Coturnix japonica: one gene and its partner. The protein of the gene in region 1 binds, or shares a complex with, the protein of each later gene. Links are inferred from orthologs where the notes say so. Each region holds a gene or a part of one and is shown on either strand. Other genes may lie near its edges. The genes, in order: BAG3 and HSPB8.

Region 1 (3,808 bases):
ACCCACCACTGCTTAAAGTGCCCAACTGTGAACATTAAAAATAAAAACATTGCTGTTACATGAGTGGCTACACTTAAAGAAGGACCAGCATTCCAACAATGCAGGCCTTTGATTGTACAAAAATCACCTGCAGAAGAATACATCCCAAACAACACACATCAATGTTAACCCCAAAGTTGTTCCTTTTCTTTTTATTTTATTTTTTTTTCCACTCAGAAGATCTAAAAGAGATTAATGTACAGAGTTTGTTTTTGAGAACATGTCTTTACATAGTGTAAGAATAAAGGATAAATGCATTACTTTCTTTCTAACTCCCTCCTTCCCCACAAGTGTTTACTGCGTCCCAAGCTGCTATGTTGATTAAAAACCAGTTGAAAAGAGCTCTGGAAATGCATGCAACTTAAAATTCACTTAAACACACTTTAAGTTACGAAGTCTGAGAGATTTTAATTTCAGCACATAGCTATGGCTCGGTTGGGTTATTAGATGTGTTTGTGGTGGTGGTCAGATTGGTAAACACTTCTTCCTTAGTCTCAGGCTGATGTCTTTCCATTTTGCTTTCCTCTTTAACATCTTTATTACTGGTATCTCCCTTGCTCTTGACTACCACAGGTTCAATCTCCATGATTTCCTGTGGTGGCTTAGGCTCTGCCAAGGTTGGCTGAAGTCCATCGACTTGAACTGGTTCTGGGACATCTTCTGCTTTCTGTTCAAGTCTTTCCAAAATGTTCTGGACCTTCCTTACACCATCTCTCCTGGCCTGACGCACATCCGCACGACCCTCGGGGTCCACCGAGTCTAGGGCTAGCAATTCTTTGGTCAAATACTCTTCAATCATCAAGTACTTTTTGTCAGTTTTCTTGCCTTCAAAGGAGTCGACTGCCTGCTCAAGCATTTGTACATTCTCCAGAATTGCCTCCACTTTCAAAACACCAGGATGCTTTTGAGGTTCTGCTGTTTCCGTTGTCTTCGATGTCACAGTTTCTTCAGGAGCAGGCCTTTCCTGCGGAGGAACAGCCTTAGCTGAACAGGGAACCCTTTTATCTGCTTTCTCTGCCATGGCTGGAGGCTTCTGAGGTGGTATTTTAGTATCTGGTTCTCGGTAGGTGACCGAAATTGGAATATATGTTGCAGGCACCTCAGTTTCAGGCGGTGGGATTGTCTTGGTTTCAGTTTTGATTTCAGGTGGTGGAGATGGTCTTGGTGGCTCTGGAGGAGGGACTTGTTGCTGAGAAACCTGGTGAGGAAGACAAGTTTATGTTGAAACACAGTCAACAATGTTCTTATTTCTTTTTAAAAACAGGTAATAAAATCATAAAAATCAAAAGCTTAGCCCAAGATAATTATTATTATTTGCTTTTAGGAAAGGATCCCAACTGCAGGTACTCAAACTGAAATCTAGAAAAACACCCTGATTTTCAGGAGGTGTCAGCATCTTTTCTTCTGAAATCCAGACCATTAAGCTATCTCAAATTGGAGTACACATAAAAGCCAGCAGATGCTCTTAAAAATCAAGGACTTAACGCTGAAGCATAGGAAGTACATTAGAGGTTGTTGCCAGGCATTTGGCAAAAGTACCCCCAAAGGTACACTTCCCTGTTGCCTTAGAGTGGTCCAGTAAGAGCAAGAGTGAGAAAGCTAAAAACAGGAATGAAAGCAGATGGAATAGGGATGGGATAGTTTCCCCATTCTTCTTTTTCTGGCAAAACCTCTAGTTTTGCCCATCCAACTTTCAGCTGTGGCAGATGTAGGCAAGCTGTGAGCCTCCCTTTTTGCTCCCTAAAGCACCATCCACATCACAAGGACTTAAGCAGAGCTACAAAGCCTTCAAGCCCAACAGGGGTCTTGTTTCACACTGCTCTTGTTATCCTAATTAGCTATGAATTTTCATTACATACTCTTTTCCCTGTGTAGTGCTGAACTTGAGGTTTCTAAACCACAAAGCTCTGTGCTCAAGAGATGATAGGTACTGCTTTTAAACTACTGCAATGAGTACCAGCACCAATCAGTTCTCAAGATACTAAACTACAACTGACTAAACTTTGCTCATGCCTGCTAAGATCAGCCCTACAAGCAGTTTTATAAGGTAGGACCTTCCAGCAAAGCTCTAGCCTGACTTAAATAAGATTTCAGCACGTGTCTTCAGCATCAACACTTCATTCTTAGAGTGTCAGCAACAAAGAGCTACTATTTCTTGAAAAGCTATCAGTACTTTGCTGGGCTTTAATCTCATCTGGGGCTATTCTCATTTCATTTTCCTACTTTCAAGGTAATGTTTTTGTTAGTGCTTAGTTTTAGTGATTCTATATTCTCAGTTTTACATGCAGAGGTTACTATGTCAATCTTATTATGCCAGAGTTACTGGAGACAATCAGAATGATTGCTAGAGATGTAACAGTCATCAAGTCAGAAAATTCTTAAAACTGATAGGAGTGATGAAATCCTATGGGAGAAACTGAATTCTTGAGACTTGTATTTTCCTTGTTTTGCCACCTCCTTCACTTACCCACTGTGTTTGTACATGGTTTTTGGAAAGGAGGTAGATTTGGCTCTCATTAACATACCCACATTTATATTTAAGCTATATATACTGGCCTGCACTGACACTGTTTTAACCATTAAATATTAGATTTGTTTAGGGAGCTCAAATTCTCACCTTCTAAAGATAAACTAACATTATAAACTATATGTCAGTCTTTACTCTTTTGTCCTAACACCTGGTTTTCCTGTCATTCTCAGCATGGAATCTCTGAAGAGAAGGAATCCAGGGTTGTTTTTATACATCACTCCTTCCCCTCCCATAGCAGGGAATTCCTAGTAGAAGACAACTCAAATAATGTTGAAGAATTCTTGACTCAAAGGACTTCTAACTGTAGCTTGAGTAAGAATATTTTGTTTAATGTGAAAAAAAGTATATGCTAAAAAGGGCAGCAACCAGCATCAAGTATTATTCCAGAAGAGGTAGATTCACAACTCACACTTCTCAGAAGTTTTTTTTATTTACAATTTCAATCAAGACTGAGTCCTCCCTGCTGCTATGGAGTCTATTTACTAGTAGCATATTGCTGGAAGAGGAAGGGTGTGTAGTTTTGGTCTTTTTTTCCTGTTTTATTGTTTGTTTGTTTGTTTTTTCCTTTTTGCTCTGGTTATAAAGTATTCTCAGATTAAATTGTGCCGATTCTCTTTCACCATAACTAAAATTACTCTGTGCAGTTGCTGCTCTCCTGAGTGGTTCGGAGACAACAGCGAGGTATATTTACAGATACCACAAATCCCATGGACTTGATTGGCTTCTCAGTACCATAATGCAATATCACTGACCTCAGAGTAATTGCATTAAATTATACTCTGAGAGGAAAGATCACATCACGTACTAGAAATGATTTGCTTAATGTATTTCGACAATCCAAAGACTTCAGAATCCTGATAGGTGGAAAGATGACTTGATGGAAGCTTATCTCAGGATCTCAGCAAGTTTAAGAAATGCTTTATGTGCTTTCATGTACCTGTGGGTATGAGCCACTGTTTCAGCTCTAGCCCAGCACGGCTAGCAGAGATAAGTGGAAGGTAATAACCCTCCCCGCTCTACATACCTGAGGTCTGTCTACGACCGTCTGTACTGTGATGGGAGTCGAGGGCTGTACCTGCTGGGTGATAATTCTGGCAGGTGAACTCTCACGACTTGATGCCCCTCTCTGAGTGGCTCTGAATGGAGACTGTGCTCGTGCTGTCTTAGGCTCCCTGTCATCTGGTTGAATTCTGGGAAATACAGGTTGGTGGGCTTGGAATTCACTCTGCTGGGCAGGGT
Region 2 (4,511 bases), on another chromosome or scaffold:
AGATGATATCTGGTTCACATCACAGCCTGGTTTCTCATGTTCCTTTTGGATGTGGCTTGGTGCAGTGGGATATTTTGGGTTGCTTCAGCTGCTGGGTGTAGCAGGGCATGTGCTTGCGCTCTCAGCTGCTGGGGATGAGGTCCATGGGGCAGGGACTGAAGCTGAACTGTTGCGAGCTCAAATTCCTGCCAGCTGGGTCAGGCTTTCACTGCCCTTTGCCATGCAATTTGGGTCATCCTCAGCTTACAAACAGCTCAAGCCAGCAGTGTTAGATCTTACACCATTTTGGGGGCAGTGGGGATGCTCTGTGTCCCCTGATAATACCAGCCACCAAGTCCTGAGGGCAGCTGAGATGTGCACCTGGGAATGGTCTGACCATGGCACAGACACAGACATGGGGCAGTGTCCCCAGGTCGCTTGGCAGACAGGAGGGCTCTGCGCTCCCCAGAGCTGACGTGGCGGTGCTGGCAGCTGTGGGAGGTGACTGGGAGATTTGGAGTGACAACAGGAGCTAAATTGGGATTCCTGGAGAGGGACGTGTGACTAATGGGGATAAGCAAGGCGACAAGACGGATTCCTGGCCTGGGAGGGAGGATGGCCTGGAGCTACTCGGGAAATGTGGGACTGGAGATCTCGGGGTGAAATGTGGTAGGGATGGAGGCGGCCATGGGGCTGTCCCAAACTGTGTGTTGGTGTCACTCTGGGTGATGGGAGCACTCAGCCAGGCAGGGCAAGAGATAGAGGACACTTCAGCCTCTGCTGACTGCTGCTTCTCTGCTCCTCCCCACACCTCCAGTCATAGCCCAGTCCCTGGGGAGACCCCATGATGCCTGGCTGTGTCTCCCCATGCCCACCAGTGAAGATGAGGGATAAGGGCAGGAAGCAGCCGCTCCCCATGCAGGCAAAGGCCCTGCCCAGCGATGCCATGTCTCTGCTCCATGATTAATGCCCTCTGAGCCACCAGCGGCTGTATTGCAGCGTGGCCTGCAGCGCATTACGGCCTTCCTGCTGCAATTTATTCCAGCAAGTCCATTAGAGAGATTGCAGATGCTGAGGAAAGCGAGGTAGAAACAGGAGGGAGCGAGGAAGCAGTGCAGCATCTGGCACATCACTGGTGACACTCATCGGCGTGCTGGGACCCCCTCTGCAGGAACCCCACTGCCACCAGGAGCCCCAGTGCCACCAGCTCCAGGTACCCCGCCGCACCCCATCCCCTACAGCCCTGTAATTAGCCCCGCGCGGCTGTGATTACGCCTCGCCCTGCTGCGGCACGGCCAGGCACGCGATGAGAAGGAGGAGGAGGAGGAGGAGGTGGGTGAGGACGGGGCCACGTAGGGTCCCACTCCCACCCCAATGATTCTGGGGCATTGCTCCAGGCCCAGCCCTGGGCATCAGCTCACAATCCCAGCCACTTTTTGCTGGTGACGCACCTCCGGGTGCAGTGGGTGTGCAGTGTGGGGCCCGGCCCCACCTGGGGGTATTTTTGATGGGTGACACAGGAGTGTGTGCAGCCCACCCTGAGCTCCCCAGTTATTTTTAGGCAGGTGCCAAAAACACCGCGCCTGCTGGGATCCTCAGGCCGGCGCAGGAGGTCAGCTGCACAGCCCGGATTCTCCACGGCTGTTTCATCCTCTCCAAAATACTCGGCTGACAGGGCAGGAATTGCAAAACACAGCCTCCCCCTCCCGCAAGCGTATAAATAGCGCTCGCCCGGCGGTGGAAGGTTGCAGAAGTTTCTCGGCTCGGAGCTCAGGCATTTATTGCAGCTCTCACCCGGGAGCGGTGGGGAAGCAGCACAGTGCTTGTGGGAGCAAGAGGGGAGAGAGAAGCTCTTAATCTCGGGATATTCGGTTTGATTTTTTCCCCCCCCCTCTCCGGACAAGAAGTTTTATTTTCCTCCACCCGATCCCTGGGACCGAAGCCAATCAGGAAGCGTTTTCTTGCAGCTCACACCGTCCTCCCCACACTTGCTTTCCAAGCTCCGGATGCCTCAGCCCTGCTGAACCTCTTCCACCCATCGCGCTCTGCCCGGTGCCGGGCTCCCACCCAAACCCCCGCGTGTGGATGTGCCTGCCCTGGGCTGGGCTCCCCGGGGTATTCCGCAGCCTTTGAGGCTCCACAAGGAGCATAGAGCCATGGCCGACAGCCAGCTGCCCTTCTCCTGCCATTACCCTGGCCGGCGGAGCCTCCGCGACCCATTCCGAGAGCCCGGTTTGACCTCACGCCTCCTGGATGATGATTTTGGCCTCTCACCCTTCCCTGGGGACCTGACAGCAGACTGGCCTGACTGGGCTCGGCCCCGGCTCACCCCCACCTGGCCGGGCCCGCTGCGTGCCCGCGCTTCCGCCATGGCCCCCGGCTACAGCACCCGCTTTGGGGGGTACCCGGAGAGCCGCAGCCCTGTGCCCACCTCCCGCGAGCCCTGGAAGGTGTGCGTCAACGTGCACAGCTTCAAGCCTGAGGAGCTGACGGTCAAAACCAAGGATGGATATGTCGAGGTGTCAGGTGAGGGCTGGGGCTTGGGGAGTGGGATGGGGCTTGGGGACCATGGTGGCGTGCTCAGCACCAACACGGGAAGGCCGAGCCTCCTTTGGGGTGAATCTCTGGGATTTGTGTTCCAGCTGGCACCCAGCTGCGAGCTGCCGAGAGGGGCCCCAGCCTGGCTGGGTTAATTATAGCCAGCGAGGACGGAGCTGAGGGAGATTCCCTTTAAAGGGGCCGAGAGCGAGGCAGCCTGAAGCACCTCCCAGAGCTCCAGCGCTGCGCCCTGGCCAGGGCCCTGCACCTCCTGGGGCTGCCAGCACCGTGCCAGGACGCAGCACTTCTTCCAGGGGCTGATCTGGGGGGATGCTGTGGGTTGGGGGGAGCCAGGAGGCCTCAGAGCTTGAGCCCCATCTTCGTAGGGCTTGCACACAGCCCAGCAGAGCGGCTGAGGATGGGGATGGGATCCAAAGATTTGATCATGTCTGATGGCTCCTTCTTAAGCCCTGGCTCCTGGCAGCAAGCAGGGCTCAGGCTCCATGGGAAGCAAAGGTGTCTGGCGGGGAGAGCAGCTCTTCCTCCTCCTCCTGCTCCAACCAGTGCAGCCTCACAGGCCAGACGCTTAGTGCTGTTCTTCGTTGGTTGTGGTGTAACCCTCCTCACATGGGAGACACCCACGGAGGGAAGGGAAAACAACTCCTTTGGAAGGGTTCCTGGGGTTTGTTTTGCTTGTTGGCTTAAGCCCTGAGCCTAGTGTGGTGGTGACACGCCTTTGTCCTCCCCGCAGGCAAACACGAGGAGCAGCAGGTGGAAGGAGGCATCGTCTCCAAGAACTTCACCAAGAAAATCCAGTAGGTATCACCCTGCCCCGGGGCGTCCTCCCACAAATACAGCCCCATCCCCATGACATGCGATGGCCGCAGCCCCGCTGTTCCCATCCCCAAACCAGCCCTGTGGGCTCCTCCAGCCCAGATATGAAAGCAGAAAGGGATGCAAAGCACCGTGCTCCTCTTTTGGGGCTGATCTCATCACCAGCCCCAAAACACACCCATCCCTGGTGTGCGGCCACACGTGCACCCACATCCACATCTGAGTGATGTCAGTCTGATTGCTATCGCGCTGACTCACCCCAGCAACAACAACAGCAGGGAGGGAAGGCGAGCCCAGCACCGAGGGCAAACCACAGCAGTGCAGCAGTGGCTCTGCAGCTTCGCTTTACCAAAACCTCCCAGCAAAGCCGCGTGTGCTGCGGGTGGGAGCCAGCAGCCAGGCTCCTTTTATGGGCAAGGCATGGGCACGACGCAGCAGCCGGGCGAGCGCGGGCAGCAGTGACGTCCCATCAAACACATCTGCCACGGAGATTAAACAGAGCGCCAGGCAGCCCAGGGGCCACTTTAAATATCCCTATGCATTCCCAGGCACTGCAGCAGTAACACAACTGGGGGTTGTGAGCCCAGACAGGGTTCCTGCTGGGCAATCTCAGTGGGAAGGCTGTGAGCCCCACATGGCTGCGCCATCTCCTAACCCCACACATCTCTCTCCCCCTCCAGGCTGCCCTACGAGGTGGACCCCATCACTGTCTTTGCCTCCTTGTCGCCGGAGGGGCTGTTGATCATCGAGGCGCCCCAGATCCCCCCCTACCAGCAGTACGGCGAGGGCAGCTGTGGCAGCGAGATCCCATTAGAGAACCCAGAGGCCACCTGTGCCTGAGGGCCCCTGTGCCCCTGCTCCACTCCCCCGACCCTATTCCCCCCCAACCCCGCTCCTCGGGCCCCAGCGGGGTGGCCCCGGGGCACGGCCCCTCCCGCTCCCTGGGAGCAGCTGCCCCACAGTGGTCTGACACTCTGGTAGAGGCTTTGCATCCATCAGACCCAGCAGAATGGGTGTCTTCGTTACGGTTCTTTTAATGCTGTAAGGTGAGCAGATGGGATATTTGTAACAATAGCGAAAAAGTGCCCTTTTCTCTTCTTAAGTTGAAGTGGAACCCCGTGGTCCCGTGTCTTCTTCTTCTCTGTTTTTGGTTTTGTTTT

Evidence for each region.
Region 2: BAG3 (region 1) and HSPB8 share a complex: the UniProt entries of both Homo sapiens proteins name them as parts of the chaperone-assisted selective autophagy (CASA) complex. The link is inferred for Coturnix japonica from reciprocal best matches to the Homo sapiens genes BAG3 and HSPB8.

What each region holds. Positions count from the first base shown.
Region 1 is NC_029521.1:27,003,530-27,007,337, reverse strand, and holds part of BAG3 (BAG family molecular chaperone regulator 3), read right to left. Parts: coding exon 3,594-3,808; intron 1,238-3,593; coding exon 464-1,237; 3' UTR 1-463. UniProt on the Homo sapiens protein: Co-chaperone and adapter protein that connects different classes of molecular chaperones including heat shock proteins 70 (HSP70s), e.g. HSPA1A/HSP70 or HSPA8/HSC70, and small heat shock proteins (sHSPs), e.g. HSPB8.
Region 2 is NC_029530.1:8,626,058-8,630,568, reverse strand, and holds the start of HSPB8 (heat shock protein beta-8), read left to right. Parts: upstream 1-1,707; 5' UTR 1,708-2,135; coding exon 2,136-2,505; intron 2,506-3,268; coding exon 3,269-3,332; intron 3,333-4,031; coding exon 4,032-4,191; 3' UTR 4,192-4,511. UniProt on the Homo sapiens protein: Involved in the chaperone-assisted selective autophagy (CASA), a crucial process for protein quality control, particularly in mechanical strained cells and tissues such as muscle. Displays temperature-dependent chaperone activity.